Linked DNA regions of Arabidopsis thaliana. The protein of the gene in region 2 purifies or fractionates together with the protein of the main gene of each other region. This does not show direct contact. Each region holds a gene or a part of one and is shown on either strand. Other genes may lie near its edges. The genes, in order: NRPB8A and NRPB6A.

The links.
Region 1: the proteins of NRPB6A (region 2) and NRPB8A fractionate together in Arabidopsis thaliana (co-fractionation; one large-scale study listed by BioGRID). This does not show direct contact.

Annotation. Positions count from the first base shown.
Region 1 is NC_003070.9:20,253,047-20,257,313, reverse strand, and holds NRPB8A (RNA polymerase Rpb8), read right to left. Parts: upstream 2,377-4,267; 5' UTR 2,270-2,376; intron 2,105-2,269; coding exon 2,026-2,104; intron 1,771-2,025; coding exon 1,613-1,770; intron 1,290-1,612; coding exon 1,198-1,289; intron 1,091-1,197; coding exon 979-1,090; 3' UTR 626-978; downstream 1-625. Other genes in the region: AT1G54240 (winged-helix DNA-binding transcription factor family protein), read right to left, coding at 2,820-2,851, 2,927-3,248, 3,346-3,429, 3,672-3,765, 3,861-3,917, 4,014-4,067, 4,180-4,226.
Region 2 is NC_003076.8:21,102,914-21,106,697, reverse strand, and holds NRPB6A (RNA polymerase Rpb6), read right to left. Parts: upstream 2,148-3,784; 5' UTR 2,020-2,147; coding exon 1,982-2,019; intron 1,660-1,981; coding exon 1,626-1,659; intron 1,534-1,625; coding exon 1,361-1,533; intron 1,273-1,360; coding exon 1,221-1,272; intron 1,126-1,220; coding exon 1,058-1,125; intron 972-1,057; coding exon 902-971; 3' UTR 751-901; downstream 1-750. Other genes in the region: AT5G51950 (Glucose-methanol-choline (GMC) oxidoreductase family protein), read left to right, coding at 1-454, 542-605; AT5G51930 (Glucose-methanol-choline (GMC) oxidoreductase family protein), read right to left, coding at 3,130-3,690, 3,773-3,784.

The DNA.
Region 1 (4,267 bases), on a different chromosome or scaffold from region 2:
CATAGCTAACAACAGAACGAGAAGTCTCTGAAGGTGAAGTGAAAATGGAGGTAGATTCGAGTGATTGTGTCCTTGATTTCTTTATATTACGCCATTTATCCTTGAAATTTGGGCAATAAGAATAAACAATACAACATTAATACCCAAATTTCGACCTAATTCCACATAATAAATCTCAAAAATCGATTTCCATGGAAGACGAATGGGATTTTGGGAATTTTCGATTACCTTGAGGTTAATGTTTGTGCGATCTAGAAGTTGAGCCGCGAACTCTGGATCGTCTAAAATACTTGTCCATTTTCCGGAACCGTGCTTGGCTAGTCCGGCGAGAAGGGCTTCCTTCTTCCACCGTCCATTTATTCTTCCGATTTTCTAGTTGTTTTTTCTTTCTCTTCAAGTCGAAATATATACCATTTAGAAGGCCTCATCAAAAGCTTTTATTGGGCCTAAACATGGCCCACTATACAGATTTAAAATTAAATCTTGATCTGTTCAGAATTTTTAAGACTAATCTCGACCGTCCAAGATATATTCTCCCAGTCTCAAAGAAGCAAGAACACAAACATGGACTAGAGAAAACACAAGCATGGATTAGAGAAAACACTCTATTTTTGGCTCAGAATCTATTTTTCGAGCTTTATTGCTTCATATTGTTGTTAGAAGATAAGAGTGTAGTGAAAATTGGTTAGAGAAGAAACAAAACTGTGTCCTTGACCAAAAAAAAAACTGTGTCTTTGTCTGTGTTTTTTGTTATGTTCTTGGTCTCAATTGCTTATCTTCATCAATAGCTTAGAGCTACAAATAGTACATTTCACCGGACCGGAGCAGTCAATTTGTGGAATGGGATTTAAAACGGAACGGAAAAACTTGCTTTTGCACAAGAGTTGCTTCATGAAAATTGCAAGAGTTGAAGTAGTAAAAGTTAAACATTAGATCAAGCTCTCTATTAATTCAGTTTTTATCCGAAAAAATGGCACCTCACAGCTTCCTCATGAGTAGGAAGAGCCTCTGGTCGAGTTCGAAGTGAGAAATGTGAGCTGGATCTCCCTTAAGCAACATCAGGAGGCCGCCAAACGAAACATATAGCTCTCTGGAAACACATAATTTAAAGAAAATAAAATAAAACATGATGGTTTGATATGTGAGTTGAATTGGATTGAATTATTTTGATATGGGGGGGTTATATGGGATTCTTACGCTTTTGGAGTTTTGCCGTCACGCTCAGAGATCTTGTAAAGCTTCCCGTGCATTATGTATTCATACTTATCGGCAAGTGTTTTCTTTGCTCCCTGTAATGTATCGAGATGAAAACTAGATAAGATTAATGTTTAGATATGCATACACATTCTTGGTTTTCAAATTTAGATCTTGAAGATTCAAGAACTAAAGCTTGTTAAAATTCCATGTCTCCTCTTATTCCTAGATAGACAGGCTTCTCGAATCAGCCAACAGAGTTATAATATCAACCATTTAGCAGCATTAACAGTTATATCCTAACAAAATCCAGATACGGGTTCAAAGTTACCATTCATGGAAATTTGGCCAAGCAAACAAGAGACTGTGTATATACTCAAAACAAAACAACTAAATAAAAAGCAGTAGAGTTTATTACCGGAGTAAAATAACCGGTATCAGGGGTTCCATCGAGATTCAGCGTAGGAGCCAACGCAAGTGTGAACTTATCACCAACAGCCAATGGATAAACCTCTGTATTAACATCTAAATGCATAAACATTTCCAAGTTGTGGCTCGTAGCTTGAACGCGAGTAACTGTAACCACAAACACAACAAAAATCATTGTAGGTTTAAGAGAAAGCCACTCAATCTGAAGACAGAACAAAACTTGGGGGAGACTAAAAACTTAAAAAGTTAAATTTTTCCACAAAACCCACACACTCAGACCAAAAAAGGATAAACGGAAGAACTCATTCACAATACATACATGAACTAAACAGCTATGAACAAACGTCGATGTAAGCCATGAGAAGTACTAGAAATCGTGAGTGAGGCTAATAAAGTGTATACCTTTATCGAACTTTTTGCCATCAGGGTCTAACTGATCGACCACGAAGATATCCTCGAACAAGATGATATTGCTCGCCATCTGCAAACACGGAAATTCAAACCCTAAACACTCTTTATTTCCTTGATAAAACCCCAATTAAACCAGTAAACAAGACCTATATGGACATCTAATGAGTACAAGAATCCGAACTCTGAAATCAACTTATAAACAACCAATCGCATAGGAAAGTAAATAGTTCCGAACCAGGAGCTTGAGTTGAGGGAGAGATGGAGAAGCTTGAGATCAAAAAGTTCAGACTTTAATCTCCCAAGCGATGGGCGATAGAAGAGCCAAAAAACAATTAAAGGGACAGACTGAGAACAAAAACTCATAAAAGTCCTATGTAAGCTTATAATGGGCTTACAATGAGGCCCATTATAAAATTGTAATTCTCATAACTAATTTTTTTCTTTCTTGATCAGTATTTGAAATTAATCTCGACCGTTAAAAATACTTGCTAAAGACACCATGACACACTTTCTTTTTTTCTTTCTTATGTTATGTATTAGAAAAACCTATTCAATTCTTAAGATTGGCATTATCTGTAAAAACTTGTATTAACAAAAACTAACAGAATAGTCTGTTGCCTTCACAACCAAAATCATTTAACCACAAAGTAACAAACTATGACTAGTTAGTCAAATGAAATCACATTTCATATCTACACTCTTTTTTTTACTCAAAACCAAAAACACTAAAAAGAAACCGGTGATCGAATATATCCACCTTGAACCGGACCAGAAGGTCAAAGCTTTTACAGCAGGAAAATCTTTTCACCGTTAGCACCTGCAAGGACCAAATCAAATGAAAAAGTCAGTGATGATGATGATGATAAAAGGTTAAGAGGTGGACATTACTTACATCGATTAAGGATTTCTACGGCTAACTGCAAGGTTATGTTGCTTTCTAATTTTAGCAACTGGGCGTGTTTATCTGCAAGTTCGTATGCCTCTTTTGCTTCCAACTCCAAGTGTTCTGCCTCTGCGACTTCTTTTGCTAATGCGATTATCCGAGGATCTACTTCTGTTGTTGGTGGTGCGAAAGAAGCACAAGTACTTGGTGTGTCTTGTGCCTTTGTGCCCGTGGAATCTTCTGGATCCATGGTTTCTCTTTGATTTGAATCTCCTACTGACACAACTGGAGTATCAAATACACCACGGGGGATCTTGTAGAGGTTTCCTACCTGCATTTACAAGTTTTTTTTTCCGTTTTTCTGAACTGATCAAACAAAACTACTGAATCTTAACATTAGTGTGAGGCAACTCTGAAAAACTAGTTACCTTGTATACTTGGCCTTCAGAAACTAGATATCTCAGCTGGTTTTCCAACCGCTCCCTAAAATCTTCCTGTAACTCGTTCCTTTCCTGCAATTTATATTAACCACAAGAACATGATGGTTAGTTGATCAAGAACAACGGAGGAATCAACAAAACCAAGACTTTAAAAGGAAGACTTTTAGGGGATGGAACATGAAGTCAAATTTTCAGATCCTAATGTTCCATTGTGTAATCCCGCTATTGACTCACATTTCAGAACCAATATACACTACTCATGAGATATGACCATGAAACACAGATACTTATAGAGACAGAGAGATCCTCCTAACCTTGATAAAAGTGAAAATCGCATCGACATCAAGACCATTATGATTCTCGTAGACTGTTTCTAAAGCCTGAAAGATCAATTCATCAGTCGTAAACCTGAAACAAAACCAACAAAAAAAGAGTAATATCAAAACATAGATAGACCAGAGAAAACAAAGATTGGTGGTTAAAGAATCGAGAAGGTCACAAACCCAGAGGGACCCCGGTCTTCTTCTGAATCTATCATCATGAGCCTTTCAAGCTGTTCACTGAAAATGAGATAACAAATCAATCAAAACATAACCAGAAAAGCAAAGATCAATTCTAAAAGATTGGTTCTAAAGAATACAATAAAATTCACTAACGCATAGGAAGAAGGTTCTGAAGAATCCGTAGCCGCTGGAGAAGAAGGAAGGTCTCTGAAAAAAAGAGAAAGAAATTGACATTATTAGTTGAAGCAGAGCTTTAAGCATCGATCGATCTCTCTCATTTCCACAAAATTGGCTTTGGGAAATACAAAAGTTCACGAACCCATAAGTAACGTTGTTCGCATCCGATTTTGTATCTCCAGAAACCATGGCCACTGAAGAAGGATCGTCGCTGAACAAAAAGAAAGAAA
Region 2 (3,784 bases):
TCCAGAAAATCGCGGGACCGATCTCGAGAGGTCATTTAGAGCTTAGGAACACAAACCCGGATGATAATCCTTCAGTAAGGTTCAACTATTATCAAGAGCCAGAGGATCTACAGATATGTGTTGAAGGGATCAACACCATTATTAAAGTGATCAACTCCAAGGCATTCTCCAAATTCAAGTACCCGGACGCGACCATACATGGACTACTCGATCTAATGCTAAGCGTTCCTACCAATCTGAGGCCGCGGCATATAACCTCGATGTTCAATTTAAGGCAGTTTTGCATTGACACTGTGATGACAATTTGGCACTACCATGGAGGTTGCCAAGTTGGAAGAGTGGTTGACAAGAATTACAGAGTCTTAGGCATTGATTCCTTAAGGGTCATCGATGGATCCACATTTCTCAAGTCTCCGGGGACTAATCCTCAAGCTACTGTTATGATGCTCGGAAGGTAAATGCATAAACCAAATGATCCAAATAATCTAAAACATGTTAATGATTTGATTAAGAACTGATTGTGTCAGAGTGTTTTGTGTAGGTATATGGGCCAAAGGATTCTTCAAGAGAGGGAGATATACAACAAACCGGATAAAGAAGCGTGAGATATTACTTGTTTTGAGAAAATCTTGATCTTGGAATTGTTTTAATCAATGTATGATTAACTTAAAGAGTATGAATGTGTACATCTGTTCATGTTCTGTTTCTAATATGTATAATAATGGTGGAATTATGGTACTTGGGGCTTCTAGTTTTGCAGAATTTCGGAATATGAGTCTAGTATTATCCATAAGTTTCACTGATTTTTAGTTCCATTACAACATCAGAAAATTTATCATCCATAAGAGAGGAAAGCTTGCAAGTTACATACGTATTTGTCGATTTGTCTCTGGTCAGATTATCAATCACCACCAACTTGACGTTTCCATGAGTCTTCCACGATCAGTTCATCAACTCCCCATTCCTCGAAACTGTTTCAGGAATCATAAGTAAGTCACAAGAAAAGAAGAGATCAAGTGAGTGAAGAGAATAATATAAGCTCAATGCAATCTCTCACCTCCCATCAGGTAGATAGCGTCTAATAGTGAATGGTATCTTCCGCTGCCTAAGCTCCTTCATCGCAATCTGAATCCAAATCATAATAAATTAGCTCAAATGTTCATATAAGTTTACTGAGACATAACTTCAAAAACCAACAACAAGAAGGTAGGTAAGCACACCTCAAGTGGATCAGTCTCACCCTCTAGCTCAACCATGACAGGAGCATTCATGCTGTATCAGCCAAAAAACAACATTAAGACTCAAACTTTTCAAGCCAATTTAACATTAAAAAGATTGTTCTCAGTAGCAAGAACCATACCTAATCTGCAAAGCGCGAGTGCCGAGGATACGAGCACGCTCATACTTGGTCATAAACTTTGACGTTTTGCGTGGACGTTGCACAGGTTCTGTTTCGACTTTATCTTCAGCTTCAATAGGCTCACCATTGACATCATCATTCTCCTTCATTTCAACATCTTCCTCTACTCCTTCCTACACAAGAAAAAAAAAACCAATCAGAAACCGAAAGTTGTATAATAAGCAATAACCATGTCTCTTATACAAAGAAAAAATATTGAACTTACTTCAATCTCAGGCTCTGCTGGCTCATCCTCATATCTGCAATAGCCCAAATTTTCTTCAATTTACTCACAAGTTTCACTAGAAAAGCTCATAGAGTTTTAAAAAATAGCTTTTTCTCAATGAAATTAGGGTTTCTACTTTCTACCTTAAAATCGATTAGAATCAGTACTATACCGAACAAAATCGAAGCAACGTTTCATCGAAGAAACCCATCTATAAAAACTGCTAATTTAGACATTAACTAATCCAATTTACTCTAAATCGATTACGAATTCGTCGAGAAGAAGATAGAATCTTTTGAAATCCGAGCACGAATAATGAATAGATATGAAACCGAGAGAGAGGAAGAGAGAATAACCCCAAGTCATCGACGTCGTTGTAATCTTCGTCAGCCATTAATGTCGATTTTTGGTTTCGCTTTCTCCTTCTCTTTGCTCTGTATAAACCCTAACTCTCGTTGCAGAGTTCCGAACGACGCAGAATGAATCAATGAAGTTAAGAACTGAATAAAATTTAAATGATCCAGTTTATTTAACTATGCTTAGTAAACTTTATAATCGGACCATTTAATTTCAAGCCCAATTTAGGCCCACATAAGAATAACTCCACAACTGAATCAAATTTCCTTCTTTATTCCAAATAATCATGGAACATGTGATATATACTGATTATGTTAGAATTTTCTTTTCTTTGGACGATGATCACATATTCATATACTTGTCTGGTCTCATCTTTAGTTGGAGAAACGATCGAATAATCATAGAAAATACTTCTCGAAAAGCAACTCTCTCTCTCGAAGAATCCTTTGCCCCATGTACACCTACACATAACACTCAAGTCTCAACAAGACAATCACAACTCGAAGAATCATATGATCATTAAGTATGAGCGTTTTACCTTCCGAGCATCATGACCGTGGCTCGATGATTAGTCTCCGGAGACTTGAGAAATGTGGATCCATATCAATGGCCATTAAGGCATCAATACCTAAAACTTTGTAATTCTTGTCGACCAACTTGACAACCTCCATGGTAATGCCATATAGTCATCACAATGTGGATGCAAAACTGCGTCAAGTTGGACTTCGAGGACGCGTGTCATTTTAAGGTTTTAATTTTGTTTCACAAAAATTGTCATTTTTGTGTTTTCAATGGAATATTTAAAACCAAATCTCTTTTTTTTTTTTTTATCTCTATTATTTCACTTTATCATTTAGAAAGAGAAAGTATTATCTAGTGTATTAGTAACGGGTAGAAATAAAATTTGTTTACTTTTCTTCATTTGTGTGAAAATGTTAGAAGACAATAACACAACAAGTAATAATAGATGAGAAAACTTTTGTCTACTCTCTATTAAGAACCTTAGGCTTTTTGTTACTTTTCGTGGAAAGCCGCTCTTTGCCGAATAATTTCCTGCCCCATGTACCTACACATAGCACTTTCACAATGATTTTTATTCAAACATCATATCTTATTTATTGATGTTGTGATTATTTAGTTTTTGTGCTTACCTTCCAAGCATCATGACCGTGGCTTGAGGATTAGTCCCGGGAGACTTGAGAAATGTGGATCCATCGATGACCCTTAAGCCATCTATGCCTAAGACTTTGTAATTCTTGTCAACCACTTTTCCAACTTGGCAACCTCCATGGTAATGCCAAACACTCGTCACGGTGTCGATGCAAAACTGCTTCAAGTTGAACGCTGAGGTCACGTGCCTTGGCCTCAAATTGATGGGAAGGGCCAACATGAGATTGAGCAGTTCACGTGCCGTCACACCCGGATACTTGTACTTGGAGAAAGCTTTGGAATTTATCATTCTAATAATGGTGTTAAGCCCTTTAACACACTTGTTCAAATCCTCTGGTTCTTGATAGTAGTTGAATGTCACTGAAGGATTATCCCTTGGGTTCGTGTTCCGTAGCTTCATATGTCCTTTTGAGGCCGGTCCATCGACTTTTTGAAAGATCAAACCCCCATTCATCCTCACTTCCAATTTAACATCAAAAGATTTTAAAAGGACTGCAATGGATTGGGTCAGGATTTTCCTAGATGTAGTATGACTTGTCTGCATAATGCGTCATAGTTAGACAACATACAATCTCATAAGTCATAACTAAATAACCTTTAAATGTATTTATGTTATATACCTCGTTTAAAAG